2 linked regions of the Mytilus edulis genome follow. The protein of the gene in region 1 interacts with the protein of each later gene in a biochemical or structural test. Links are inferred from orthologs where the notes say so. Each region holds a gene or a part of one and is shown on either strand. Other genes may lie near its edges.

Region 1 (16,700 bases):
CTAAAGTTATAGTGCGAAAATCCAAGAAAATGCTTATTTGGTCCCTTTTTGGCCCCTAATTCCTAAAATGTTGGAACCAAAACTCCCAAAATCAATCTCAACCTTCCTTTTGTGGTCATAAACCTTGTGTTAAAATTTCATAGATTTCTATTCACTTTTACTAAAGTTAGAGTGCGAAAACTAAAAGTATTCGGACGACGATGACGACGACGCAGACAACGACGCCAACGTGATACCAATATACGACCAAAAAATTTTCAATTTTTGCGGTCGTATAAAAACAGAGAATTTTGCAATATTGATGCGAATTGTTTGGTATTTTAATTGAGGACACTTGCAGGTAAATAATTCAACCTCTGTCAATCAATATTCATGTGACCTTAAATTTTACCCCTTAGCTAGAATTTCATTCTGCATAACTTAGCCATCTTTAGTTTTGAAAGGGAAAAAATGCCATCATTGAAAGCGATATGAGGGTCAACCATTTCATTGACTGATTCAATCCACAAACAAGAGGCTCTCAAGAGCCTGAATCGCTCACTTTATATTTTTTGCTTAAATCTTCCATGAATGATTATTTTGGGTTTTCAATTTATATAAATGGTTCTGGAATTCTGTCATATCTTCTTCAAAAGCAAAAACAAGAGTGGACACACTGAAATGTCTCGTTTGTCTCGTGTTCATAATATAATTTATGATGAAAGTATAAAAAAACATTGTATACCCCAAGCATTAAATTATTGCTGTTTACAGTTTATCTACATGTATAATAATATTCAAGATAATAACCAAGAAGAATGTGTCCACAGTACACGGATGCCCCACTCGCACTATCATTTTCTATGTTTAGTGGACCATGAAATAAACGTGGAATAAATTCTCTAATTTGGCATTAAAATTAGAATGATCTTATCAAAGGGAACATGTATACTAAGTTTCAAGTTGATTGGACTTCTACTTTATCAAAAACTACCTTGACCAAAAACTTTAACCTGAAATTTGCACTATCATTTTCTATGTTCAGTGAACTGTAAAATTGGGGTCAAAACTATAATTTGGCATTTAAATTAGAAAGATCATATCATAGGGCACATGTATACTAAGTTTCAAGTTGATTGGACTTCAACTTCATCAAAAACTACCTTGACCAAAAACTTTAACCTGAAATTTGCACTATCATTTTCTATGTTCAGTGAACCGTAAAATTGGGGTAAAAACTATAATTTGGCATTTAAATTAGAACGATCATATCATAGGGCACATGTATACTAAGTTTCAAGTTGATTGGACTTCAACTTCATCAAAAACTACCTTGACCAAAAACTTTAACCTGAAGCAGGACAGACGGACGAACGAACGGACGAACGAACAGACGAACGGATGGACGCACAGACCAGAAAACATAATGCCCCTCTACTATCGTAGGTGGGACATAAAAACAGCAAAATTTCCTTAAAATTACCAATTCAGGGGCGGCAACCTAACAACGGGTTGTCCGATTCATCTGAAAATTTCAGGGCAGATAGATCTTGACCTGATAAACAATTTTACCTCATGTCAGATTTGCTCTAAATGCTTTGGTTTGTGAGTTATAATTATAAACTAAAAACTGCACTTTACCCCTATGTTCTATTTTTAGCGATGGCGGCAATCTTGGTTGGTTAACCAGGTCACCGGACACAATTTTTAAACTAGATACCCTAATAATGATTTTGGCCATGTTTGGTTAAATTTGGCCCAGTAGTTTCAGAGGAGAAGACTTTTGTAAAAGATAACTAAGATTTACGGAAAATGGTTAAAAATTGACTATAAAGGGCCATAACTCCTAAAGGGGTCAATTGACCATTTCGGTCATGTTGACTTATTTTTAAGTCTTACTTTGCTGAACACTGTTGCTGTTTACAGTTTATCTCTATCTATAATAATATTCATGATAATAACCAAAAACAGCAAAATTTCCTTAAAATAACCAATTCAGAGGCAGTAACCTAACAATCGGTTGTCTGATTCATCTGAAAATTTCAGGGCAGATAGATCTTGACCTGATAAACCATTTAACCTCTGTCAGATTTGCTCTAAATGCTTTGGTTTTTGAGTTATAAGCCAAAAACTGATTTTACCCCTATGTTCTATATTTAGCCATGGTGGCCATCTTGGTTGGTTGGCCGGGTCACTGGACACAATTTTTAAACAAGATACCCCAATGATGATTGTTGCTAAGTTTGGTTCAATATGGCCTAGTAGTTTCAGAGGAGAAGATTTTTGTAAAAGATAACTAAGATTTACGGAAAATGGTTAAAAATTGACTATAAAGGGCCATAACTCCTAAAGGGGTCAACTGACCATTTCGGTCATGTTGACTTATTTGTAAATCTTACTTTGCTGAACATTTTTGCTGTTTACAGTTTATCTCTATCTATAATAATATTCATGATAATAACCAATAAAGGGCTGCGCTTTTGTGCATGATACGCCGTTGCTCTTTTAACTTGTCTTTTATGCTTTAAATGAATTTATATGATCAACTAGAAATATATATACAAATCAAAAGGGATGTTACATTAATATATTCACCAAAGTTTCATAAAATCCCCCTTTTTTAAGTATAACAAGAATGTGTCCTCAGTACACAAATGCCCCACTCGCACTATCATTTTACATGTTCAGTGGACCGTGAAATTGGGATAAAAACTCTAATTTGGCATTAAAATTAGAAAGATCATATCATAGGGAACATGTGTACAAAGTTTGAAGTCAATTGGACTTCAACTTCATCAAAAACTACCTTGACCAAAAACTTTAACCTGGAGCGGGACAGATGGACGGACGAACAGACGGACGAACGAACGGACGCACGGACGAACAGACCAGAAAACATAATGCCCCTCTACTATCGTATGTGGGGCATAAAAATTCATTACTTAAGAAAACATAAAATCTAAAATTTATAAAAATGGAAAGGCAGCTTATGTCAATAGATATAAACAATTTATCAAAGTTGCATAAAATTTTGTGAAAGTGTTAGTTATTGTCCCAAAATTGGAAAATCCCCCCTTTTTTTAGCATAAAAATTCATAACACGGAAATGTAAAATCTGAAATTTAAAAAAAATTGAAAGAGAGCCTACATCAATAGATATAAACAATTCACCAAAGTTTCATGGACATTGGTGAAAGCCTTTTTGAGTTATTGTCCAAAGTGTTGAAAATCCCCCTTTTTTTAATGAATAAAGCCCCATAAATCCAAAACTTAAAATCTGAAATTTATAAAAATTGAAAGGGAGCTTACATCAATAGATATAAACAATTCACCAAAGTTTCATGGACATTGGTGAAAGCCTTTTTGAGTTATTGTCCAAAGTGTTGAAAATCCCCCTTTTTTTATGAATAAAGCCCCATAAATCCAAAACTTAAAATCTGAAATTTATAAAAATTGAAAGGGAGCTTACATCAATAGATATAAGCAATTCACCAAAGTTTCATGGACATTGGTGAAAGCCTTTTTGAGTTATTGTCCGAAGTGTTGAAAATCCCCCTTTTTTTATGAATAAAGCCCCATAAATCCAAAACTTAAAATCTGAAATTTATAAAAATTGAAAGGGAGCTTACATCAATAGATATAAACAATTCACCAAAGTTTCATGGACATTGGTGAAAGCCTTTTTGAGTTATTGTCCGAAGTGTTGAAAATCCCCCTTTTTTATGAATAAAGCTCCATAAATGCAAAACTTAAAATCTGAAATTTATAAAAATTGAAAGGGAGCTTACATCAATAATTATAAACAATTCACCAAAGTTTCATGGACATTGGTGAAAGCCTTTTTGAGTTATTGTCCGAAGTGTTGAAAATCCCCCCTTTTTTATAAATAAAGCCCCATAAATCCAAAAATTATAACCTGAAATTAAAAAAAAACGAAAGGGAGCTTACGTCAATAGATATCAACAATTCACTTAAATTTCATGGAAATTGGTGAAAGTGTTTTTGAGTTATTGTCCGTAGTGTGGACGATGGACGGACGGACAGACGGACAACGGTATACCATAATACGTCCCGTCTAAAAGACGATGGGCGCATAAAAACATCAAAATTTCCTTAAAATTACCAATTCAGGGGCAGCAACCTAACAACGGGTTGTCCGATTCATCTGAAAATTTCAGGGCAGATAGATCTTGACCTGATAAACAATTTTACCCCTTGTCAGATTTGCTCTAAATGCTTTGGTTTTTGAGTTATGAGCTAAAAACTGCATTTTACCCCTATGTTCTATTTTTAGCCATGGCAGCAGGGCTTTCCATTGAAGCCGGTAGCCGGCGGAAATCCGCCGTTTGCGGTGGCTTCAAGTGCCGGCTACTTCACTGACAAAAATATAAATTCAAAAAGAAAATAATATCTTTTTCAAATGTTTACAGGCAGCCGAGAGACGTATTTTCGCAAAGTCGCGGTCACGATAAACAAGGATGAAAAGTCAGTGTTTACCTTGGGCTAAATATAGTTCACATGAATTCAGGTCACTGATTGGTTGTCTGTTTAAAGTCAGAATGCATCGTTTCTTTTCAAAGATAACAAGAGAGACGTTCCGGTGGTCATTGAATGATAACAATAGAGACGTTCCGAGGGTCAATAACTCGTTGGCTTTTTTACTTTTAAAACGTGAAGACAATCAGATAGGATGACAATCTTATGTTATGGAATAATATCAGTCAAATTAAAGAAAGTGTAGTAGATCATAATGTTCAGAATCTTGAAAACAGTATCTTTTGAAGTTCATTTTTCAAGGCCCACGTGGTGTTCAGAGAATCAAGGTCAAAAACGAAAGTAGAATATTGTCGACTCGACCTCAAATAAATAACATTTCCAAATAATTTATGTATCCGACTTATTGAACAGTTTAAAAGAGAAAATCAGAGGATATATCAATTTTCTGTCAATGCTTGAAAAATAATTGTATGATTTTAGTTACGCGTACCAGTCTTTAGAGAGAAAAGGGGGGTCATTTGTTTACAAATGCACGTAGTTCTGCAAAATAAATCGATGAAGATTTTTAACAAACCGGATTATTATATAAATAAATCTCTTTTAAAAGTAAATGAATTTTAAGCATAAATAAATGAAAATAAAAAACTATAACATAAAAAAAAAAAGTCTTTGAGATTTTTTTTTTCTTTAATTTCATACATAAAAAATGGTCATTTGAAAGATGAAATTAGGTGCCAGGAGATTGCGAGAATGCAGGATTTTGCTCTATTTATGGCAGAGCTTCTGGGGGCCTTGAGCGGCCCCCAGACCCCCTGCCGTAAGGCACCAAGCTTACAGCTTGGTGGACGTCCGGCTTCGCCGAACGCATGTTACAGCCGCCTATAATTTTAATTCAGCCTTCTACTTCAATTTCAATGGAAAGCCCTGATGGCGGCCATGTTTTTTGATGAAATGGGAATTAAAACACAAACTTTATTCTAGATACCCTAGGAATCAATCAGATGAAGTTTGGTTTGAATTGGTTCAGTAGTTTCAGAGGAGAAGATCTTTGAAATAGTTTACGACGACGACGGACAAACGACAACGGACGCCAAGTAATGGCAAAAGCTCACATTTCCTTTTGGAAAGGTGAGCTAAAAAACAATTTCTTTAGGTAAAAACCATGATTAACATATAAATCGGTGAAGACGAATTTGACAGCTAATTCTCCTTTAAGGGAGTCCATATGGGTTCAGTAAACAGGATTTTTTATGCCATACACCAACAGGAAATCCTGAATGATACACCATTCAGTGTGTAAAGAAAGTGGAAACAGTTTCTGGGATCTTTAGCAAATTAAAGGGGCACTAGCTACGAGATATATACAAAATCTAAAATTTGATTTTTTTTTTTGTTCAATCAATAATGAAAGTGAAATAGTGAAATAACAATTCGCTTTTGCAGCCAAAAAGGTTCAATTTTGTCAAATTACGCTAAGAAACATTGATAATTAGTTATTCACTTGCAAGTGAATGAGTCAACCTCTTAAAACCCGTATTCATGTGAACTTCAATTTAACCCCTAGCTAGAGATAGACAACGCATGCATTGTACGTGTACTGGTTATTTAAAGAAAAGGAATGACAACAATGAAAGTGAAACTACGGTAAAACATTTGATTACTAATCGATGCACATAAAATCATTCTTATACTGTTAAAAACAATGAGAAACATCTATTTTTAATCTATAAAATATAATCAAACAGACCTATAAAGCTCCAATTGCACGTGTTGGTTTAATCTATTCATATCTTTATTTATGTTTACATCGCTTTTATGGTCATCTGAAGTCAAATAGATAGTTAATTGGATGGCGTCTGGACTAAAAAACAAACGAAACGAACCTATATATTATCTACCCCATGCTCTGTAAACTGTTTATTTTAGACGTTTGATAGTTAGGATTAATCACGATTAATGTTTTACATTGTTATAAATCAAATATGAGAATTTGAATCAAATCGGTGTTCATGAATTTGACAGCTAGTGCCCCTTTAACATGTACATCATTGCAACATGTACTATAATGTCTTTCAATAGTAATCAATCATTTCAGATTTTGAGATATACCTTTGCCTTCAACTCTAGTTCTGCATTTTAAATTTTGTCTGCCAGTTGGCAGTATTTTTTTTCTAAATTACTTCAATATAAATTTCCCATATTTTACCCATTAATTCAATCTACTATAGAAGCAGTATCATGAACTTATCAGTGCTTATTGATTATGAAATTAAAGTGGTGTTTAACAGGTCTCTTAAATTATAAAATGTACATGGATATATTTGGCAACAAATTATTTTTAGCTTGGAGATATTTTTTAAAGACTATACCTCAAAGTATTTCCAACAAATTTCTGTATCATTCAACATAATTTCAAATACATGTATATTTACACATCCTTCATGAACCATTTAGAAAAGGGACACTTATGTTAGTTCATAAGGGTCACAGTCACAATCATGTTATATGGATTTCATTGAAAATGGACACTGTAAAAATGCAGACTTTCATGATGTCAATTTACAGAGAAATAGATTAAACTGGCGCTAATGATTGGTTGTTGTCATAAAACGTTGTAATGAATTTAAGTTGTGGTTTCCGCATTCCTTACACCAAGTCTGGCCATGTTCGTGTCGACCTTAACATTTACAATTCAAATTTGGGACCACAGGTACCGAGAGGGCTTGACACTTTTACAATGGGCCAGATATATCAATCTTAACTGCGCTTTTCAGACTCCCAAAATTACCAACTTGTTGATTTAATACATCGTGATGCTGAAAATTCTGAATATGTTGCTGGCGGAAGTGCTTCCTTCGAAAATCCGCAGTGAATAAATGTTGACAAATAAAAATTGAAAAAAAATAAAATAAAGAAATATTTCTTTAGAAAATTCTCATCTAGTCACATGCCAATAAAATATTAAGAAACAAGTGTCTCAAAATGAATCTGTCTTAATCTCAAACTTTTTATTCTTATTTTACCAAAATTTTGCCATGTTTTGTTGAATAAAAAGGATGATTCATCATGTCTCATGAAATTCATTGGATTAATAATCTGTTAGACATTTGCAATTGTGGCTATTTCTATATATTTTGTTAATATTCATTTATTTAATGTACAATATTTTATCTGATGCTTTTTTCGGGCACTTGTTTTTGAGAAATTTAAGAGAACCATTTGAATGTCAATTACTAAATCCGAAACAAAGCAAAAGTCAAAAGAAATAGTTCTGTATGCGAAAATAGAGAAAATCATTACAATTTACCAATGGATAATTTCTTGATTTTAATAAAACTATCGATTTTTTTCTTATCAAGTGATGTGAAAGTTTAAGATATTTAATTTTCATTTTCGGAAACGAAAATTAACTGATTGACATACGGGTTTCAATTTGGCACTGAACAGAAGAAAACATTTGGACGCCATTTTCCACAGAAACTTGATAATCATTGTGGATTTAACAACATCAGACATCCTCCTTCGGGATGGAGGAGACCAAAATCATCTATTATATAGATGACGAAGACACTCCTTATTTAATCAAACTACCTATTCCCGCTGATCGTGTAAATCTTGGTGATTTTAAGAACGCTTTAAACAGACCAAATTACAAATTTTTCTTCAAATCGGTGGATGATGACTTCGGGTAAGTTAAAGCCAGTTGCACACCATGAAAGATCTAGGTGCCCGCAATAATGTTTAATTCAGATTTTCAGAGTATTAGTTAATACTGTCACTTTTGCAGTACGAGAAAAACAACCAGTAGACTACTGGTAAAAAAATATAATTTACAAATAACATAATTTCATTGTATTGCATTAATATACACCTTATCGTGTATTGCATTAATATACACCTTATCGCTATTTGTCTGCCATTACTGGATATCACACAGGTTCACGTAAAATTTTGACTTCATAAAACAAGATATCCGATGCCACAATGGAAAAGTGATTGTTGTTGACGTCAAAAGTTCAAGCGGCCGGGTCAGCCGGGGTTGGCGATAAGGTCAACGGAAAAAAAGTCACAGGAAAAAAAGTCACAAAACCTCTAGGAAAAAAAGTCACAGGAAAAAAAGTCTCAAGAAAAAAAGTCACAGGAAAAAAAGTCACAATTATAAAATTATTTGAAAGAAGTATATAAAATGTTTTATAAGAAGTATGTTGGAATGCACATGACAAAAGTGATTTTGTATATCAGCTGTATGAAATAGATAATTTAAAAAAATGTAGTTTTGTTAAATAAAAATAATACTACTAGTAAAAGTGTATCAGATCAATTATTTTTAAATAAAAGCTTTTAAAATTTATATAGGTAAAGCGCACATCGATATTAACAGATTTCGTTTTATTTATGGGTTAATAAAATAAAAAAATATATGTTTTTCATCATTTTTTTTTTTAATAAATACACCAAAAAAATGAAAAGTGTATTATAATTTATGTTCTCTTTTTAAAACCAAACTCTTAAACAAACAGGATAAGCCATTTGTTTCCTTTTCATTCATGATAAGCCCTAGTTGTTTTTCATGGGTAGGGCTTCCTTCCAAAAGAGGAAGTGAAAGGTCTGCAAAAAAGGGAAAGGTGCCACAAGAAGCCACTAATTAATCTCAACAGTCACTGTCAATAAATGTTGTAATTACATAATTATTGTTAATGGGGATGCTTTGTTTGTTTAACATGTAATTGAAGGATTCTCATGAAATTGGTAAAAACACAGCTATAGAAAAACAAAAATCACAATAACATGTGGTCAAACCATATCATAGACTTTCTAACTTTGACTCAAATTAAAGAAAATGTATGACTTCATTTACTTTTCTATAAAAGAAAAAAATAATTTCAAGTGTTATTAAATCAAGTATGGAAGTCATCAAGAGCAACAAAGGTGGTTCCAAACTTTGCTACCAGGGGTACATGTACACTATTAAAGCATACTACCAGAAAGACAGTACAGTGGTGGAAATGTGTGAAGCGATCCAGCACTGCATGTAAAGGGTCCATTACAACTTCTCTGCAGAATGAAAATCCAACTCCTGGCCAGCCACACAACCATGATCCAAGTGATATTAGCATAAAGTACACTAAGTCCAGGTACGCAATGAAAGAGCAGGCTGCTCTCACCAGAGACAAACCAAGCCAGATCTTCGCCCAGGTTGTTTCAACATGTGAAGATGATGTGCAAGCAATGATGCCCAGAGAAGAGAATTGTAAACGCACCATGCGCAACCAGCGTCCAACACCACCTGTTCCCCAGAGCTTTGTAGATGTCACACTGCCAGCAGAATTCACTATTACAACCAACCACCAACAGTTCCTACTGTATGACAATGGACAGAATGCTGAGAACAGAATGTTGGTCTTTTGTAGTCCTGACAGTTTAAGACGTCTTTTTAAACAGCTGTACACCATCCGAGTACCTTTTAAAGATGTTACAGTCACCACAGTGTATGCTTTCTTGCCGAACAAGAATCAAGATACATACAGAGAGTTATTTCAGTCATTGGTCGACAAATGCCAAGCCAGCCACCTACAGTTAAATGTTCAGACTGTGGTAACAGACTTCGAAGATGGCGTTCTACGTGCAGTGTCGGCAGTATTTGGCCGCCATATCAACAACCAGGGATGTTTCTATCATCTTACACAAGCAACTTGGAGAAAGATACAGAGCCTTGGTTTGGTTCCCCACTACAAGATTAGCGATGACTTCCGCTTGTTCTGTGGTATGATGGACGGCCTTGCCTTTCTGCCTGTAGCTGATTTGCCAAATGGTGTCCACCTGCTAAGAACTTTGTGTCCAGATGACCCACCAGAAGCAGCTGAACTTCTTGATTACTTTGATGCAACCTATGTAAGTGGCAACATGAGACGTAACCCAGCACCAGGTCAAGGTCTCCGTTTAGTAATGCGCCGCACTCCACCCATGTTCCCACCAACTATATGGAATGTCCATGACGCAACAGTCAACGGTGATTCAAGAACCAACAATGTATGTGAAGGTTGGAACAACAAATTCTTCAACTTAGTAGGTTATGCCCACCCATCAATATGGAGAGTAGTAGAATGGTGCCAGAAAGAAGAAGCTACAGTGAGAACCTTGATACAACAAGACGCTGTAGGTGTGAGCCAAAATTTGTTCCTGTGAAAAAAGTTCCAGTGGAACTAATTTCACAGGAAATATGTTCTGGGAGAACTTTTTTCACAGACAATTTCTATATAATTTGTTCCATCTCTATGAAATAAGTTCCACACTTTACTTGGTGAAATAAGTTCTGGGTTGGTGAAATTTGTTCCTTACCTAGTGAAATAAGTTCCATGTTTGTGAGATTTGTTCCTCACCTGGTGAAATAAGTTCTTGATTTGTGAAATTTGTTCCTCACCTGGTGAAATAAGTTCCTTGTCTGTGAAATATGTTCCACTGGTTAAACAAGTTTTCCTATATACTGAGCACTTGTCATTATAAAATACATGTATTATATTGATAATGTAATAAATAAAAAGTGTAAGCATCCAATTGGATCATGTGGAGTAAAGCAAAAGTTTAATAACATGGCAGCTCAAGTAATAATACTAAAAATGGCACTTATGAGCCAGGAAAGAGTAGAATAAGAAATAATAATAAAAGTCATTCCGAAAAAAGTATTATAGTTGAAGATGAATATTTGTACTTTTTTGAAAAGCACAAAGTGGCTGATCAATTATATTAAAAGACATAAAGAAACAAAATACACGCTCTTTAAAAACTGTGCAATGACCATAGCTAAGTACATGTAGGATTAGAACACCCATGACAGATCATCAGGAAACATGGAGGTTGAATACCACATAAACGATCAAACATAGATACATTATCATCGCTTTTATTTCTTATCTTCATGCTAAAGTCATTCCTTCAATTGCAAATGTACCCCATGCAAGCACAGAACTTATTTTCTGTGAAATAGGTTTGAGCAGAACATTTTCATTGATTTCTATAAAATACCTACGTTTAAAACTAATATCCCAAGAACTTATTTCACTTTTTTTTTTAAATTTTAATATTGGAACAAAATTGATGGTGCTGTGATTTTTGTTCCAGAACCTATTTCACACTTGGTTAAAAAATTAGTTCCGGAACAAATTTTATAGTGCTGGAACATATTTTCTGTGACATAAGTTCCAGTGGAACTTATTTCCTATGAAATTTGTTCTGATGGAACAAATGTCACGCCGGAACAAATTTTTTGTTACATAGGCACCCCACCAGTTAAACGGGTCCAACAACGTTATGTCCAACTTCAACTAAGACTTCAAAACTTGTGCAGAGACTTGACATCAGGCAACAAGACCATTGCAGAATTTCTCAGGGGTGTTGGTTGGAACATAAGACTTAACCATTAGTTGTCATCTCTGCTATATATCAAGTGAACTTTAAGTAAAACTATGTGCATCACATGTTCATTATCTGTTGTTCATTGATAAAGACATTTATTTGTGCTTGATTATTTATTATGTTACTATTATTGACTTATATTATTATGATGTATACATTAAATCTACATTACTACATTCAATTCGTTTTGCTTAATTTATTTCTTTAACACTATATCAACAGGTCATACATAAAAAAAAAGGTATGAAACAAAAAGAACTTCAACATGTATCAGTACACGATCTTGTACAGGTGACCTATGTTTGTTAATTTCTGTGTCATTTTGGTCTCTTGTGGACAGTTGGGTACCACATCTTCTTTTTTAATATATCAATACACGAACTTGTACAGGTTTTCTTTTGCTTTGCGATTTTACGTGTAATTACCAAAGCAAAAGAGCATAAGACTTGTAGAAAAATACGTTTAGCTGTCTATAACTAGCATCATTCAAGAAAGATATGAAACAAAACTTATTACAACAAAACATACATTGTATCAGTTCACGAGCGTCTACAGGTTTTCTTTTGCTTTTGTAGAAACATATGCTAAGCTGTCTAATTTGCTTCTAATGTAAAAACACATGAAACAAAAATAATTACAACAAAACATGTATCAGTAACATTACAAAAAAAATCCTTTGAATGACATTGAAGACCTGTTGGTGAACGTCTGCTGTTGTCTGTTCTATTGTCGGGTTGTTGTCTCTTTGACACATTTCCTAGTTTACATTCTAGATTTTATAATAAAACAAAAGGACATGGGATACAAAAAACACAAAACCATACTTGCACATGAACAGCAGAAAAAAAACACACACAGACAAAAGTCATTACCAATATATAAGTGCAGATCATATGACAGTTTTCATACAAAATATTAATTGTGACTTTTTTTCCTGTGACTTTTTTTCCTGTGACTTTTTTTCCGTGACTTTTTTTCCGTGACTTTTTTTCCTGTGACTTTTTTTCCTACATTCGGCGATAAGGTATATTGGAAAATAAAGAGGCAAAAGAAACCAAAGTGATATTTAAACTCATCTATTAGTTTAAAACTAACTGACAATGTTGTGACACAATAACAAACAAGATTATTCAAAACACAACATAGAAAACAAAATACAAGCAACATAAACCCCATTGATGAGGGGGTAGGAGGGGTCCTGATCCCGAAATCCCGGGCTTAAAAACACGAAATCCTGAGGTCCTGAATTTAAATAACTAAAATCCCGACATTCTGAAATTCGAAAAAAAAAATTCCCTGATCCTGAAAAGGTTAATATTGAAATCCAGAGCTTAAAAACACTCGATCCCGGAGTCCCAATAAAGGTCATTACCCCCCCATTGATACTGGGGATGCAGTACTGTCAAGTTTTCATGAAGCAAATATGTAAGATTTAGCCAAGATTGTGAAGATAATAAAGAAAATATGTTTAAGATTGAAGGAATTGCTGCTAAATAAGCATGAAAATTTGTGAGTCTTGGCAGCCATGTGGATGTCTTAGGGGTACAAGTCGGACGACATATGGTCAATACAGCAGCTCCTCTAGAAAAAGACAAATATGCACAGATTTAAAGTCATTTCAGCATTTATATATATTCCTCTGGCATCTAATATTATTTTTTCTGAAATAATTTCTTCAAATAAACAAGATCCATATTTGATCAGGTGCAGATCTGATGTTTCAGAAGTTGTACTTGGTAGATCACATTCTTAAGAAATTTTGTTGTCACACAAGAAATGCCTAACATCACAAGGAAAAGGGATTGTTGTATGAAAAATAATCCCAAATGTTGGATTGAGGAGTTTTAAAAAAAATTATCTCCTTTCCTTTGATCATGTTGATGTTTGAAAAAATGGAAAACTGTGTACTCATATACCTTTACAAAATGTAAATCATACTTACTGGATAGACAATCTAAAACCTTAATTTCAATCTTAACAGACACACACAATGAACAAAAAATAAACACTAAACAGAATATGATGAACAGCCCCAATGGCCTATGACCCCAGTTGAATAATTACTCCTTAAACAAAGGGTCAGTTGAGGTAATATTGATTAATTAGTTTTCAGATAGATCATAGACAAGTCACCTGATATAAAAAAAAAATAACAACTTTGAGTTTTTTAAGGCCCTGTTTAGTGGGAAAGGGCATTGAATATTAACTTTGTTCATCTGTATGTCCTGAAATTGGTTTCCATTCTCATGATTCTTTAAATTTAGTTAACCAAATGTTATGAAACTTATATACATGACAATTAATGCTTATTTAATACCACAAAACACAGATCAAATTTGAATTGACAATTTTTGGGTGGCATCGCTTTCACCTATCTGAAGTAATGCCTCTTTATAAATGGCAAAGTAGCCAACTTTTTTCGTTTCCATTCCCTTGAACTTAAGTTTGCTTCAACCAAATGTTATGAATCTTGTATACATGAAAAATATGAATGACAAATTTATAATTTCAGTGTTGTGAAAGAAGAAATTGTTGATGATGAAGCAAAGTTGCCATGTTTTAATGGCCGAGTTGTTTCTTGGGTATGTACACAATTTTGATAAAAGTATTTTAGTTTACATGAAAATGAAACATTTATGAACCAATGGTTTTATGAATTCTCCTGGTCTCCACAGGACTTTAAAAACTAAAAACAATAATTTTGTTTGCAAAAGTATGAGGACACAAAATATGTTCGATTGTGTCTTAAATTATATTTTTGCCAGTGTCTGCTATCATCAGCATTAAGCTTTAATATGGCATTAATTATATAACTTTCCAATATTTTCTCCTATGAAAGTACTTGGCCAATTGCTACCAAACTCGGACACATTATCCTTGGGTATTCATTTAAATTTTTAAAATAATTTCCCTTTCATGAAACTACAAGGCTAAATGTTTTGAAACTTTATAATATCTTAAAAGCTTTAATTTGGATTTTTAATGACAAGTCATATAAATTATATTCTGGTGCAGTTGTGCTTATCTCATACATGTACAAAATGTATCAGACATACAACATGGGTTTGTCATTTTATCATAATTCAGAAAAAATGCAAGTGTATGTGTCTTTTTGACTGGACCTTTTGTCATAACAGCCACACATTTCCAGTTGTAAAAGTGACATGATGAACAAGTACTATCAAAACATGCCCTACTTTAATATCCACTTATTACAAATTACAATCAAGGTAATAGGTTAACTATAGCTAGTTGTATGACAGCTGAAATTTACCGATTCATAAGAGAGGCAAAGAAATGATTTGCATCTAATTTATTTAGTCAACAATATTTAATATTGCAGCATGTTCAGAAATATTTATTTAAATATGACAATTATGATTTGATCACGTTATCATGATAAATGGTAGAAATACAAGTTTTAAGCGAAATATTGTCAGAACTACACTGTTTTATGTTTCAAATGTGCATGTGTGTCATTTGATTTTGCATCTGAATGCTTAAAATATCATTGAAACCCTAATCTTAATCGTTTTGAGTATTTTCTAGAAAGAAAGATATGGAAAGAACTATTCATACTCAATCATGCTTTGTACAGATTATATGAGGGTGGTAAAGGGGGATCTGAACGCAGAAACACCTGAAATAAAAATCACAAAAAGTTGCATAGTCGGTACTTAAACATCCTGTCAATGTGTTTGTATTATCTTTCATTTTTATGCAGTTAAGCTGCATTATGCGAGCACCCTAGATTTGTGTTCTACCCAATAAATGCTAAAATACTTGCCATTGTTATTATCTAGCTGGCTACTATGTTATATATAACTAATTGAACACTTTTATTACTTTTTATTCTGGATTACAAAAAATATGATCAGAAAAACCTTAAATGATCATCGAATCTCCAAAAGTTTTGAAGTTACACATAGGAAGTAGTGCTCATTAGGAATCCTTGTGTATTTTATTATAACCTGTGCTTTTGGCTAAGATGTCAAAGAACAATTGTATGAAATACTTAATCGCCGAAAATCTCTTAAGACAAGTAGTTTAGATTTCCCAAATGGCAAAAGTCGTAGGAATATTGTTTGTCATCAATACATAGTACAACTACGTCAGTAGTCTATTATATAATAAGTTAACTGTTTGTGCTGTTGGGATTAATTTCAAATAAGGAGACAATTTGTTGTTGTATCTTTTCAATTTGGAGGCAGGGGTGCAAATTAGCAGTGATCCAAGGTTCATGACCTTCCACTTTTGCAAGCGGAATTTCAACTTGGTTTCTAGCTACGCCCGACGGAGTCACCTTCCACTTGAAAGAAAATAAGAAATAACTTTGCAAACCTTTTCACCAAAGTCTTCAAATAAACGATCTAAAAAATTATTTTCATCATTATTATTCATGACAGAGATGTTCATTTTGTTCAACCGCTAGCTTTATACAGAAAATCGCCGACAAATAATGTGTAAATTTGAGTAAATCGTACCTGATTATCAAAAACAACATCGTAAACACAATAACATTGGCTGCCGTGAAGACAAAATTTTACAATATCGTAGTCGATTCCGGAAGCGGATAAGGGTAATTCCAGGTTTTGGCGATCAACTACTAAAAAATCCAGGCGGGTGACAAAATACATCTATGCATGGTAAATGAATATAAACACTAGAATTGAAAACAAAAATATATATATGTAAAAGAAAGAAAAATCAGAAAATATTTTATACCGAAACTCAAAATTACTTTTTTACAAATTTTAATGTCAAAATCCAATACAATGTGACAGCTGGGAACAGTATATCTAACAATATAT
Region 2 (16,764 bases), on another chromosome or scaffold:
AGAACTGATCTCTTTGACTGAAAATTTACATATTGATGCCTCCTTTTTCATTACAAATCATGTAGAAAACAAGTTCTGTCATTCTTTGAATAGAGATGCCAAGTCTGACAATGATTTTGCCTGTAATTGAATATTTTGGTGTACATAAACTGTTTATATTCAAAAACATGATACACTGATTATTACTTACAAATTCCACTCCAACAGTTATATCATTCCTGCGTGAGTCCGGTAATACCCCGACCCACTTGACCTCTCCATATTCAGGTCCATTGTCACTGAGCCAGACAATCTGGTTACCGATCCTTAGACCACATTCAGCTATTTCCTGTCGTAAACTTGCAGTAGCTGTATTAACAGCGTGTCTAGATGTTGGATCAGCTCGGATTTTATGCAGAGGCACAAACACCCCACAGTTTGGTTCACAAGTGAAGAACCGTTTCTTACGGAATACTCCATCACAAGTACCTTTACCTCTATGTTCCTGTAATACACAAAGTCATAGGTTATTGAGGTTAATATTTGCTTAAACATTCAGAATGTACAATCAAACCTGCTGTTAAGGTCACTGCTATGAAGGTCACTTCAATTAAGCAAAAACCTGTCACGTCACACTCTTCTTGTCCCACTGTAGTAATACCACATTCAGAAGTCACCTCTCTTATGAATTCATTATACTCTTGATCAGAAGGTGACCTTAAATCATAGTTTAGTAACTCTTGTGTAAAGTATATTAGTTGTGTACAATGCATATAACAAATGAAGATGTGGTATGATTGTCAATGAGACAACTCTCCACCAGTGACCAAATGACATAGAAGTTAACATCTATAGGTCACCTTACCTCACTCCTTCAACAATGAGCAATAAAGAAGCTGGTGTGCATGGTCAGTTCAATATCTTTCAAGATGTTTTAATTATTGGGGAAAAAAACAAGCTAGGTTGTAATCCCAATAATTTAAACTGGCATTTTGGATTTGATGGCAAAATTCTCTCAGTATCACAATAATATTAAGTCATTTTGGGATAAAATGACAAATTTGCAGCAATAATTTGCATAATGAAATTGAGAATGGAAATGGGGAATGTGTCAAAGAGACAACAACCCGACCGAAGAACAGAAAACAGCCGAAGGCCAGGAAACAATTTCAGAATTTGCAGTACAGAATAGTTCTCAATCATACCTCATTAGCATGATAAGTTATATTACTCTCAACATATTTAGTCCAGCATTAATAAATGTCTTTCTGCTGCCTCGAAGATCATCACAACAGCAATTTGATGTCAATCACTAATGCACAAGTGAATTTACATTTTGTTATGGGGAAATGTATTGATATGATTTTGTAAAATGTCACCTGAAAGTCACAAAATGGAGGGTCCTCATTTCCCAGATCACAACAAGCAAATATTTCACTTCCTTTGGTTACATTTTGAGGGATGCAGGCTTGGTACATCCCACAAAACAGATAGATAATTAAGATTTTGTTTATTACATTGATAAGTCTGTTAGGCATGTTAGGATATCACTGACTCATTATCTTGTGTGCTTGCTGACAAAAAGATCAAAGTATCATTTTTATATGCAACAGATCTATTCAAATTATCAAGACAAGAATACTTAGAAATTGTTGAGAGAAAAAGTTTGTGTGAAAATTTGAAAATGTGCATGTCTTCCATGCATAATTTTGTGGAATAATAACTGTTTTTTTTTGTTTTTCTTGTATCAAGCAGGTCTTCTAGATCAGTGCAAGCTTGCACAATATCTTAAAAAAAAAAAAAGGCCTACATGTATGTGACATAAATATTTGATAGTATGCCAAAAAAATTACGCCTACATACATTTGTAAATCTTTAGATTTTCAAAAAATCGACCACGGAAGTTACAAACAGAAATCATTGCAATGATATTAATAAAAAAGCATCATTTACCCCACGACATGGTGAACCACTCCTTAAAATAGTGGTCTGATCGTACAAATAAAAACACAGATTTGGTTTTCCGTAATAGGTCAAAATGTAAGTGACACTAAACGATAACTTTATGTAGTCAAAAGCTAAGAAAACTTCCTTAAGGCGATTCATTTAGTTTCAATGCGGTGAAAAGTCAGGTAAAACCAGATACCAGGACATTTTTCTCGAAAGAAAAGTAAAATAATAACAATTCTATCAAGTTAAAAATAGATCTCCAACATTCCTAACCTGTCGAAATCCATTTAAAAAATTTATGAATGAAAAACTTCAAAAAGTCATGCCCCTGTATGCAGGAAATACATGAACAGTTGCAATTGGTGGCAATGATTTGTGATTTATTTTTTGCAATGTTTTTGGAGGACATTGTGTAAGTCTGATATCCAGAAAATCAATGGCAATAATTTCAGAATTGATCACATTCAAATTTGGTAATCAGATTATTTTCCTTATAAATATTTATATATTTATGCATTTATTATTTGATCCTAATAATCCTAAATACAAATATCAATAAATAATTTTTGTACAAACCAAACTGTAAAAATTATCTTCCAATTTAAAACAATGTTGAATTCAAATCACCAAATATGAGAGGTTTGGGTCTGACTATCATCTTAATATCAGAATTCTAACATAACAAGATAATCTTAAGAATCTGAGTTGTTTCTAATGTAAAGCACAAAAAGGTCAACATGGTCAAGAGCCACGGAAAGGAGTCAATGGTAAAAGTCTACAGATTGCCTGACAGCAAGTTTATTCCAAAAATGTAGGTTGTGAGTTAAAACTAAGCTCTTGGCAAGTGCATTTGACTCTAATCTTAATAGACCATGATTGCCAGTTTTCGTGTAAAGGTACAAAATGTATATCCTTTTATAAGCAACAAATAAACCATATATCTGTGACACAGCTAATATTCCAAAAAGGCCCAAAAAATCAACACAATATTTTTATGCAATGATTCCTGCATTTTGGATTCTATACATTTGTAGGTTTTGTTTGCAGAAATCTGAGGAAAAAGTTGTTACAAGAACATTTGGGTATAGGAGAAAAATAGAATAAACCAACGAATGTTTAAACTTATATATATCATGTATATATACATATTATTACCAAACTGAACAAAGAAATAACACAACGGGTGCCGTATACGGTGCAGGAAATGCCTACCCTTCCGGAGCACCTGATTTCACTCCCGTTTTTTAGTGGAGTTTGTGTTGTTTCTTATTTATTATTTATAACTGTTGATGTAAATGTCCCTTGGTTTTATGAGTCTTTGTTTACTCCTTGATTTTGATTGCTATTGTCTTATATCAGATAAACCAAAGTTGAAGGATAGGTGAATTGAAAAGATATGATGCCCTAAAACATCATGCTACATGCATGTAAAACAACTGAAATATTTATTGAAAGTTTTATTATTCAAAACTTTTTGAAATTTGTTTTCCAAAATATAAATCCATATATATATAGATATGACTTTAACAACTACTAAAAAAAGCTGGTCTGTCAATTTCTGAAAGAAAGAAAAGAATGCATGTACTTTCCTGACAAAAAATAGGACCTTGTACAATACAAGAGTGCACACACTGAAATGTCTCGCCTTCTTTACTAATCATTGATATTATGTTGATACTCCTAAATATAAAGCTTTATTATGACTGTCACATAAACTTAACATAAATCATGAAAATGAGGTCAAGGTCAGTTGAACCATATGCCAGGCAGACATGTACAGCTAACAATGCTTCCATACAACAAACATGACAAATATAGTTGAGCCTATTGCTTATAGTTTAAGAAAATAGACCAAAACACAAAAACTTAACACTGAGCAATGAACCGTGAAAACCAGGTCAAGGTCAAATAAAACCTGCGCGACTGACATATAGACCATAAAATATTTCCATACACCAAATATAGTTGACCTATGACATATAGTATTAGATAAAAAGACCAAAACTCAAAAACTTAACTTTGACCACTAAACCATGAAAATGAGGTCAAGGTCAGATGACATCTGCCCGCTAGACATGTACACCTTACAATCATTCCATCCAACAAATATAGTAAACCTATTGCATAAAGTATGAGAAAAACAGACCAAAACACAAAAATTTAACTATAACCACTGAACCATGAAAATGAGGTCAAGGTCAGATGACATCTGCCCGCTAGACATGTACACCTTACAATCATTCCATACAACAAATATAGTAAACCTATTGCATAAAGTATGAGAAAAACAGTCCAAAACACAAAAACTTTACTATAACCACTGAACCATGAAAATGAGGTCAAGGTCAGATGACACCTGCCAGTTGGACATGTACACCTTACAGTCCTTCCATACACCGAATATACTAGACCTATTGCTTATAGTATCTGAGATATGGACTTGACCACCAAAACTTAACCTTGTTCACTGATCCATGAAATGAGGTCGAGGTCAAGTGAAAACTGTCTGACGGGCATGAGGACCTTGCAAGGTACGCACATACGAAATATAGTTATCCTATTACTTACGGTAAGAGAGAATTTAACATTACAAAAAATCTGAACTTTTTTTTCAAGTGGTCACTGAACCATGAAAATGAGGTCAAGGACAATGGACATGTGACTGACGGAAACTTTGTAACATGAGGCATCTATATACAAAATATGAAGCATCCAGGTCTTCCACCTTCTAAAATATATAGCTTTTAAGAAGTAAGCTAACACCGCCGCCGCCGCCGCCGGATCACTATCCCTATGTCGAGCTTTCTGCAACAAAAGTTGCAGGCTCGACAATAAATTATGTCTGTTACCATGGTTATTGTATATTGGACTGTATGCTGCCTGTATATTATTACTATTTTTTAAATGTTTGTTTTAGCATTGCATAACATGGGTTTTTTCATGGAGTTTTGAAATTTTATACTACAAAATTAATATAACTTCACTTGTTTAACAAAGTTATAACTCATGAATAGTACATCTATGTTACAAGTTATAAATGGCACATGTATCCTTTTTTCAAAGAATTTGAATTTCATGACCTGTATAACCTTCCTTTACTTTTACATACATGTACATTTGTAAGTTGATACCTTAGTCTGCTTCGTTTGTTTTCATTGGTGGAAATTTCCATCCAGGACAATTTATAAGATGAATTTAAATTTTAAAGAAGAAACTGATGTATGTACAATGTACTCTGTAAGTAGTTAAATTTCTTGTTCATGTAAGTAAACATGTGCCATGTATGCATGATTACAGAATTAGAAAATGTAGAATTAAATACATGAAATATATAAATAATGCCTTCAATTTCTAGTATTCATCTGGCATCAGGAAAATTTAAATATTAAATATCTATACTAGTTACATGTAAAAAGTCTTATCTGCTTATACTTTTGTACAATGTACTTTTGCATTGTCACATTCTATAAACATGATAAATAATTATATTTTGTATATATTCTAACAAAATTTTCTGGGGTACTATTCATTGTCCTTATCCTTAATTTCAGGAAAAACAGGAATCAGAAATATGAATACTATAAATTCAGAAATTATTGCGATGTTTTTATTAATGCAAAAATGCCAAAGGTTTACATTGCAATAATTTAAACTCTCGTTTTGAAAAATTTATATGAACTTATTGGATATTTCTCAATATTGCAAAAATTAAGATCGCATTTATAGATTAATTTTAGTCTAAAATGACAAAATCGCGATAATAAATGCACGCAATAATTTCTGAATTATTGTATAAATTTGTTAGCTCTGTACACACTTTTTAATCAAGTTTCATAAATTAGGAATTCAATTGACTTATTAAACAAGTTACAAAAGATGACTGCATTTTAACAGTCAGGGATATAACTCTATCGGGTTATTACAGAAAAATAACATACATTTGTTATTGTGGACTGAAAAATCAAAGAACTGTGATAACATATATGTATGTTACATGTTTCAAAGGGACAATATACATCATCAGTTTAGTTTAAATGTATAAAAGTTCTCTTGATATTACTTTTGTCTATTAGTAAACTTAACTATTGAAAGATACAATGTATAACAGTTCATACATGTAGTTTGTCAATTTTGCATAGTACACCTATATCATGTATATATGTTATTGCAGAAAAAAATTGCCTGTAATAACTAAAGGGTGTTGTCACAGCTTCTCTATATCATATATATATGTATTCTTATTTATTGTAAGAAATAATGACCAGATCTAGAGCATGTAATGTCATGAATGTTCTGCACAAGTTTCTCTGTAATTCCCAAGTGTCTTATATCATGTATATAAAAAGTTATATTCTTTTAATAACCTAGCCTTGTTATCACAGCTAAGTTTATCCCTTAATAGCCTCCGTCTTATTGATTTACCATGGTTAATAAAAAATGTATTAATTAAATTAAAGAATTAGTTATCAAGGCTATGTATTTAGTTTCTGCGCAAAGTCTCAAGAGTTCACTAGAGCCCACTATAAATGAAATAATTTTACAAATAACAAATATATTATGTTATTACAGATTTCAAAAAATTTAAGGAATAAAGAGTAGACAACTCATGAAAGTAACTGTAATCACACACGCAAGTTATTTTCTGTACCCTATAGAGTTATAAATATCTCTGACTGTTTATGCTTTAATTTAAACATGATTTTAATAGGTAAATGTACAGGTACAAAATGTACTTTCATTTTAAATAAGTCCTGCCGACACCTCATGTTGCATTATTACTAAATTTAACTGAATTGTAATAAATTAGATTTTAGAAATCAGTGTATTTTCATCTTACCTGTTATTTCCTGACCTCTGACATAATTTAATTCAAACTTTCCATCTTTTATTTTACTTTCTGTTTCTATCTAAAATTATGTTAATAATGAAAAGCCATTTTGTAAATCTTGCATCATCAAGAACAGAGATATGGGACTCACTTCATAATGCTTGAAAACATGTTTAACAGAGAAACATGTGCAGAAAATTTTAGTAATATCTCGAATAAATCCGGATATTTTTGTCCGATACTGTTCCGCGGACTAGTATCTTATGATAAACCTCTGAAATATTTTGAGGATAGGGCTTCTTACCGGAGCTAATTCGACTCCAAATTGGATTCCTTTTTGTCCTGGTAGCTCTCCTCTATACCTGAGAAGGCCCTGTAACTCAGGGTGACCTTTTAAATAAACAATAACTCCATCTCCAACCTTTAAATTGAGGCCCTCTTGAAGCCAATTACTGTTCATGTAAACTGCAATCCTTTCACTACATACTGGGATAGGCTGTAATAGTTGTAGTTCCAATCTATCAATTTGTTTTATTTCATCGAATACTGGTTTACATTCTACTTCAATGTTTTCCGGTTCTAATGTTTCTAGGGTCCAAATTGCAATCCCATTTTCGTCCCTCTCACTATCGCTTACTCTAAGCAGAAGTGTGCCAGCTAGGACTTCCACACGAGAATATGATTTTCTAAGAATTCCTGACTCCTTCTTTTTCCCTATCTTTGTAGTAAGAAGTATATAGTATTCATCTTGAGGATATTCAGACATATCCAGTCCTATTTCATCGACATTTGTTTATATTCGTGGCATCATCAAACGGGGAATCATTATCGAACTTTGGGGAACTCCAAAACGCTTAAAATAGACTGATACGTCATAATACCACAACAAAAGACAACGAACGACATATGATACTTATGGAACGCGTAAAGCACATTAATAGATAATCACAGTTTATCGGCGACAATGATAGATTATCGGTCGACCATTATAGATGTACGGCGTAAAGTATACTTTACGGTCGACCATCATAGATGGTCTAATTAATGTGACTCGCGCGCAGACAATGATAGTTACTTCTTTGATAATGCATTTACAGTCGACAAGGTGAATTGTTTCGACAATGATAGTTAACCTCGACCAAGTGAATTAAAACACAAGTCGTAAATTTGATAATTTTAGATAAAACCGGAAATGCTAGCCAATTGTAAAATCGATTTTGATTGGCGGTCAACTTATTTTCTTTGGAAGTTAATTCCTTGAAAATAATTCCTTAAAGCAAAAGTTACCCTTTCTAAAACATGTTCAACAGGTGTTTTAAAAAATAAATTTCGGACTTCACATCCTTGTATTAACTATGATGGTAAAGTGCATCGGACTATTCGTGCAACAGAATGGACACAAGAGGAACATAGTTTCCAATTTTCAATCCTCGAATATTGAAGCTTCTTGTAAAATTTAAAAGTTCCACACATAAATAAAGTTTTGTTTTCTCTATCGTTTACAAAGTAAAATACCTTTTATTATCATATACATGTATATTTGTATTTTTTCTCTTAAAGGTTTGATTTTTACAGGTAAATGCATATTACAGGTGGCTAGATGATCACATGTTTACCTGTAATATTGCTAAGAGGTGTCAGAAGTTAAATTTCTATAACAACTGACCCCAATAAACGTTGACATAACAGGGAAAAAGTGTTTTTTAAAGAATTTTATAATCAATAAATTAATTCGAGACTGTTTAACAGTAAGAAACAAATTTTCAACATTCATAAACAAGAAATCTTTAAAGATTTATGCTCTATGGTTCTTTTTTTGTGTGTAATTATTTGGGTTGTTCTTTTGTTCAGAAATCTATATATCATTTCATATAATAATATTTTATGAAGTTAGTGTGTCTTAACACTGATTAGGACTCCTAAGTGCACTAAAAACTTATAATACGACACTCTTGACAAGAAGGAGTACTATTAAATGTAAAAAAAAATCATGTTTTGTTAGAAATTGATATTTAATGCATAAACTCAAAATAATAAAATAAACAGAATAACAAATAAATGAAGTATTTAACAATGTTAATCTTGCCGGTTTTTCTTTGATTTTACCGAAAATCGATGAACCGCAAGATATGGGTCAAATTACATATCTGATTACTCTATTATCTTAAAAAAAAATGAAAATTTTAAACTTATTTGCATAAGAAAATATCTCAGACATTATATATGTTTAACATAGAAAATACTTTAAGATTCCGTGAATATTATTTTTAATAAGACATCTATAGATAAAAGCTTAAGTGTACCTTGGTGAATTCAATGTTGTGATGTCATAGCAGATCTTAGAATACAGAAAGTTGTTACTTATAACGATATTTTTATGAATTGACAAAAAAACATTTGTCCCGGGTAACCGTCCTCCCCCTCTATGATTTGTTATTGCCGAAGTGGGAGGCTAAAGTTTAAAAAAAAAGCCGCGACCTAACACACTACAGAACAGCAGACAGTGGATACAACATTTGATATGTTTTAAAGACACAGTTGGACACAAAATGATTGCACTGGGTAACTTCAACTATCACATGATGCCCTATGAATTAATTGACATACTTGAGCTTGTCTTAGGAATATATTCTCAATGAACAAAAACGATTTCAGTAAATGTTTACTATAAAAACAGACAACAGACTTGCTGTCTTGAATACAATTGTGGCTTGTATTGTTTAATTCATTTTTAAAGCAACATTTGATCGATTGTTGGTATGTGTTTTCTCATTTTTACGGCTGTAATTTGTTTTCAGCTTTGCCAAATTAGTGGAGATAACTCAGATAAAGTATTTTTACAATTATAGAAATGACCTATTTTAATATGTAGCATTTGATTTTTTTTTTGGGGGTGGGGGGTGCTATGGATTTTTTTTTGGAAAAAAGTTTGTTTCCAGGTTTTGGAGAAAAATAATATTTGTTTTTGACCTTGAGAAAAAAAAGTGTTTGTTTCATCCTCAGCTGCCACTATATGTAATTCTAAAATTGAAAGAAAAAAATTGTTTTCGTCTTTTCGCCAAAAAAAAGTTTGTCCAGAAAAAAAAGTCCTTGCCCCTCCCCCGAAATTCAAATCTGCCTAAGAGCTATATACCGTAATTTTGATTACTTTTTTCTCAGTAAATTTTTAAATAGATATAGAATTAATGAGTGCAATTTAGAAAAAAGGAAAATTCATTTACATTCTTCAAAAATGAAAAAAAGTATTAAAGGTTATTTTCCAATATTCCCGTTGTTTGTGCATGACTCTTCGATAACTAAAAAGAAGAACCAGACTTTCATAAAAAAAATTAAGAAGATGTAGTATGATCGCCAATGATTCAACTCCAAAATAGACCAAATGACACAGAAATTAACAACTGTATGTTACCATATGGCCTTCAATAAGGAGCAAAGTCCATACCGCATAGCTATAAAAGGCCCAAAATGACAAATGTAAAAACAATTTATGCACGGAATCATGAAAACAAATATGTTTTACAGCAACAAACGACAACCACTGAATGGATCCTGACTTGGGACAGGCACATATAGAATGTGGTGGGTTAAAACTTATTCGAAGACACTAACCCTCCTAATATCCTGTGACAGTGATAAAACAGTACAACATAAGAATAAACTATAATTAAATTTAGTGGAAAAAAGCTTATATCATCAGTTGGGTACAAACAAAAATACATCTAACAAACCAAAAAACACAGAGTGCTATGACTATAGGATATTAATCAAGTGACTGCTATGATCGTAGGTTATTCTTCACGTAACTGCTTTGACTAAAGAATATTCATGATATTCATCAAGTAACTGTTTCTACTATATGATTTAAATCAAAGTAATTGTTATGATTAAAGGTTACTTATTAAGTACATGCTATGACTATAGGTTATTCATCAAGTGTCTGCTATGACTATAGGTTACTATAGAATATTCGTCATTAAACTGCTATGACACTACGATATTCATCAAGTACCTACTTTGACAATAGGATATTCATAAAGTACCTGCTATGACAATATTATATTTCTTGTGAAACTGCTATCACAATAGGATATTCATTAAGTAACTGCAATGATTGCAGGATATTCATCAAGCAATTGCTATGACGATAGAACATTCAAAAAGTTATGACTATATGATAATCAACAAGTAACTGCTTTGCCTATATGATATTCGTCAAGTAACTCCTATGACAATTTGATATTCAACAAGTACCTGCTTTGAGTTAGTATATGATATTTATCAAGTACATGATATAGCAATAGGATATTCATCATGAACTGCTTTGACTATAGGATATTCATCAAGTAACTGCTTTGACAATATAATATTCATCAAGTACATGCTTTGCCAATATGATATCATTCAAGTAACTGCTACGACTATAGGATATTCATCAAGTACATACTTTGGCAATAGGATATCTTTCAAGTAACTGCTATGACTATATGATAAACTTCAAGTACCTGCTATGACAATAGGATATTCATCAAGGAACTATTATGACGATCGGATATTTACCAAGTCCCTGCTTTGACTATAGAATATTTATTAATTCCCTTATTTGAATATAGAATATTCAACACGTAACTGCTATGACAATAGAATATTCTATCAAGTACATGCTATGACAATAGGATATCCATCAAATAACTGCTATGACTATAGCATATTCATCAAGTACCTGCTATGACAATAGAATATTCATCAATTCCCTTATTTAAAATATAGGATATTCAACAAGTAACTGCTATGACAATATGATATTCATCAAGTACATGCTATGACAATAGGATATCCATCAAGTAACTGCTACGACTATAGGATATTCATCAAGTACATGCTTTGGCAATAGGATTTCTTTCAAGTAACTGCTATGACTATATGATAATCTTCAAGTACCTGCTATGACAATAGGATATTCATCAAGGAACTATTATGACGATCGGATATTTACCAAGTCCCTGCTTTGACTATAGAATATTTATTAATTCCCTTATTTGAATATAGAATATTCAACACGTAACTGCTATGACAATAGAATATTCATCAAGTACATGCTATGACAATAGGATATCCATCAAATAACTGCTATGACTATAGCATATTCATCAAGTACCTAATATGACAATATTATATTCATCAAGTAACTGCTATGACTATAGGATATTCATCCATTCTCGTATTTGAATGTAGGATATTCAACAAGAAGCTGCTATGACTATAAGATATTTATCTAGTAACTTCTATGACAATAGGATATTCATCAAGATCTTGATATGACAATATGATATTCCTCAAGTAACTGCTATGACTATAGGATATTCATCCTTTCTCGTATTTGAATGTAAGAGATTCAAAAAGCACCTGCTTTGACTAAAGGATATTCATCAATTCCCTAATTTGAATGTAGGATATCCAACAAGTAGCTGCTAAGAATATAGGATATCCATCCAGTACCTGCTATGACTAAAGGGTATTCATCAAGTTACTGCTATGACAATATGATGTTGAAAAAGTACCTGCTTTGACAATAGAATATTCTTCATTAAACTGCTATGACAGTATGATATTCACCAAGTACCTACTTTGACTATAGGATATTCATAAAGTACTTACTCTGACAAAAAGATATTTCTCAAGTAACTGCTATCTTAAGAGGACTTTCATCAAGTAACTGCTATGATTGCAGGATATTCATCAAGTAACTGCTATGACTGCAGATTATTCATCCAGCATCTGCGATGACAATAGGATATCTTCAAGTAACTGATATGACTATAGGATGTTCATCATGTACCTGATTCGACTATACGATATTCATCAATTTTCTTATTCTAATGTAGGATATCCATCCAGTACCTGCTATGACTAAAGGGTATTCATCAAGTTACTGCTATGACAATATGATGTTGAACAAGTACCTGCTTTGACTATAGAATATTCTTCATTAAACTGCTATGACAGTATGATATTCATCAAGTACCTACTTTGACTATAGGATATTCATAAAGTACCTGCTATGACAATGTTATATTTCTCAAGTAACTGCTATCACAATAGGATATTCATTAAGTAACTGCAATGATTGCAGGATATTCATCAAGTAACTGCTATGACAATAGAACATTAAAAAAGAACCTGTTATAACTATATGATAATCAACAAGCAACTGCTTTGCCTATATGATATTCGTCAAGTTACTCCTATGACAATATGATGTTGAACAAGTACCTGCTTTGACTATAGAATATTCTTCATTAAACTGACATGACAGTATGATATTCATCAAGTAACTGCTATGACTATAGGATATTCATCCTTTCTCGCATTTGAATGTAGGAAATTCAAAAAGCACCTGCTTTGACTAAAGGATATTCATCAAGTACCTGATATGATTATACGATATTTATCAAGTAACTGCTATGACTGCAGGATATTCATCAAGTAACTGCTAGTACTATAGAAAAATTAACAAGTACCTGCTATGACAATAGAATATTCCTCAAGTAACTGCTATGACTATAGGATATTCATCAAGTACCTGATATGACAATATGATATTCATCAAGTAACTGCTATGACTATAGGATATTCATCAAGTACCTGATATGACGATAGGATATCCATCAAGTAACTGATATGACTATAGGATATTCATCAAGTACCTGATATTACAATATGATATTCATCAAGTAACTGCTATGACTATAGGATATTCATACATTCTCGTATTTGAATGTAGGATATTCAACAAGAAGCTGTTATGACTATAGGATATTCATCATTTAACTGCTATGACTATAGGATATTCATCATTTAACTGCTATGACTATATGATATTCATGAAGTTCCTGCTATGATAATAGAATATTCATCAAGTAACTGCTTTGACTACAGGATATTCATCAAGTACCTGCTTTGACTATAGGATATTCATCCATTCTCGTATTTGAATGTAGGATATTCAACAAGAAGCTGTTATGACTATAGGATATTCATCATTTAACTGCTATGAAAATAGGATATTCATCATTTAACTGCTATGACTATATGATATTCATGAAGTTCCTGCTATGATAATAGAATATTCATCAAGTAACTGCTTTGACTACAGGATATTCATCAAGTACCTGCTATGACTATATGATATTCATGAAGTACCTGATATGACAATATGATATTACTCAAGTAACTGCTATGACTATAGGATATTCATCCATTCTCGTATTTGAATGTAGGATATTCAACAAGAAGCTGTTATGACTATAGGATATTCATCATTTAACTGCTATGACTATAGGGTATTCGTCATTTAACTGCTATTACTATATGATATTCATGAAGTTCCTGCTATGATAATAGAATATTCATCAAGTAACTGCTTTGACTACAGGATATTCATCAAGTACCTGCTATGACTATATGATATTCATGAAGTACCTGATATGACAATATGATATTACTCATGTAACTGCTATGACTATAGGATATTCATCCATTCTCGTATTTGAATGTAGGATATTCAACAAGAAGCTGTTATGACTATAGGATATTCATCATTTAACTGCTATGACTATAGGATATTCATCATTTAACTGCTATGACTATATGATATTCATGAAGTTCCTGCTATGATAATAGAATATTCATCAAGTAACTACTTTGACTACAGGATATTCATCAAGTACCTGCTTTGACTATAGGATATTCATCAATTCTCTTATTTGAATGTATTTACATGTACATGATTTGGAGCAGATTTTATTTTGCAGGAATAAATTTGTATTTCAGAAAGAAATTTATTCATAAAATAAGAAGGATTAGCATTTTTTTTTAATAAAATAGAAATTGGATTCCAAAAAAAAGGGAGGGCTAGATGGGTTTTTGTTGGCATTGGATGATTTACAAAGATAAGTTGCATGTACGCATCATGATAGATGTAAATTCTGAAGCTATAATTAGTTAATTTGTTAGTTTTTCCATTTCAGTGGCATGAAAACCCCCCCAAATACTAAGCGTATAATTTCGACGAATACTCTCGACTTACAGTGTAATGTAACATTTTGCTCACATTTTTTTAAATTTTACCCCGAACATTTTTCTGAGTAAAAGCAGTTTGAAGTGAATGTCAAAATTTGAACATGACCTTGTCCTTGACCTAATTTTCTAAGTTGGGACCCAAGGACCTTCAATAAAGCGACTCTATGTTTATACGGCTTACGGTTTATGAGTTTATATGCATATCACTTATATCAAATGCATAAGGGGAAAGAACTTTGGTGCAATCCAAGTCATCATCTTGAAGATATAGCAAGCACTTTGGTAAAATAAATTTGTCGTAATTTTTTACGGTTGTGAAGGAGTAGTGGACACAAGGAAAACAGTGTTCGGGGAGATAACACTTACAATGTAAAGTGTACGGTTTAACAGGGTCAGTTTCAAAAGCGCAATAACTGTTCGATATCATATGCGAAAAAATCTAGGCGACATCTTGCGAAACCACAATACTACGTAAGAACAAAATGTGGCGGAAGAAAAACAATAAATCTCAGAACAAAACCAATAGGTCTTTCCACGGAAAAGTTTAAAGACCTAATAATCAAAACCAAATAAATGGGTCTTTCCACGGAGAGGTGGAAAGACCTAATAATCAGAACAAAATCAATAGGTCTTTCCACGGAAAGGTAGAAAGACCTAAGTAATATGATTGTCAATGAACTATGAAAGTTTTACTATTATTCTAGCAAATAACCTTATGTCATCTCCGTGCCTATATCATCGTCCTAAGAATATATGAAATATTTGCCTCTGAACGTTAATCAACCAATAATCGATAATTCATTAATATGTCAAACCATTGAAGGTAACATGGAAACTACGTACAAACTAGTATGATTGTCAATGAACCATAAAACTTATACTATTATACTACCAAACAGCCTTGTCTCTATATTATAGCCCTAAAAAAACATGAAATATGTGCCACTAGATGTTAAGCGACCACAATCAAGATTTCATCGCTATATCATTTCAAACCTTATACAGAACATGAAAACTAGTTATAAATCAATATGACTGTCAATGAACTATGGAAGTTATACTATAATACTAGCAAACAACCTTCGGCCATCACTATATCATCGTCCTACACATACATGAAATATTTGTCACTGGCATTAAAACAATCACAATCAATAATTCGTCGTTATTTCAAGTCAAACCTTAGTTGGAAACATGGAAAATAAATACAAATTAATATGATTGTCGATGAAATATAGATGTTATACTATTATACTAGCAAATAACCTTAGGTCATCACTATATATATATATATATAGCTATTTCATCGTCCTAAACATACATGAAATATGTTCCACTGAACGTTAAGCAACCAACAGTCAATATTTCATCACTATTTCAAACCATTGAAGGTAACATTGAAACTAATATGATTGTCAGTGAACTATAGAAGTTATACTACTATAAAAGCAAACAACCTTATATCATCACTATACCATCATCCTACACATACATGAGATACTTGCCACTGGGTTTTAAGCAATCAACAATATATAATTCTTCGCCAATCGTATCAAACCTTAGAAGTTACCATGCAACCTGATTACAAATAATATGATTGTCAATGAGCTACCTATGGAAGTAATGCTATTATAATACAACAGATCGTTGGCGTTTTAATGGGCGGAGTTGCCTTCCTGGAAATATTTTATATTGCTATATTTGACAATGACCATAATAATAAACAATAAAATAAAGCAATATCTTACAAAAATAATATCAAATTGCACAAAAGAACGAGAAATAATGGATTTAATATATTCAAAGAAGACGGTGAACAAAAACTATTTGAATTTAATTCCTTTACAAATTGCGAGAATTATTAGAAACAATAGCAACATGTACAAAATTTGTTTCTGAATATATTCTGTCTATAGATATTCATTGGT

Evidence for each region.
Region 2: of the proteins of E3 ubiquitin-protein ligase MIB2-like (region 1) and ubiquitin carboxyl-terminal hydrolase CYLD-like, one has a biochemical effect on the other in vitro, tested with the Homo sapiens proteins (2 studies listed by BioGRID, with this or other methods). The link is inferred for Mytilus edulis from reciprocal best matches to the Homo sapiens genes MIB2 and CYLD.

The regions. Positions count from the first base shown.
Region 1 is NC_092356.1:40,902,956-40,919,655, forward strand, and holds the start of E3 ubiquitin-protein ligase MIB2-like, read right to left. Parts: upstream 7,356-16,700; 5' UTR 7,265-7,355; exon of another isoform or gene 6,846-7,264; intron 6,339-6,845; exon of another isoform or gene 6,224-6,338; intron 1-6,223. Other genes in the region: segment polarity protein dishevelled homolog DVL-3-like, read left to right, coding at 8,004-8,164, 14,402-14,471; uncharacterized protein, read left to right, coding at 9,619-10,662. UniProt on the Homo sapiens protein: E3 ubiquitin-protein ligase that mediates ubiquitination of Delta receptors, which act as ligands of Notch proteins.
Region 2 is NC_092348.1:95,288,846-95,305,609, reverse strand, and holds the start of ubiquitin carboxyl-terminal hydrolase CYLD-like, read right to left. Parts: upstream 7,669-16,764; 5' UTR 7,524-7,668; coding exon 7,062-7,523; intron 485-7,061; coding exon 191-484; intron 1-190. UniProt on the Homo sapiens protein: Deubiquitinase that specifically cleaves 'Lys-63'- and linear 'Met-1'-linked polyubiquitin chains and is involved in NF-kappa-B activation and TNF-alpha-induced necroptosis.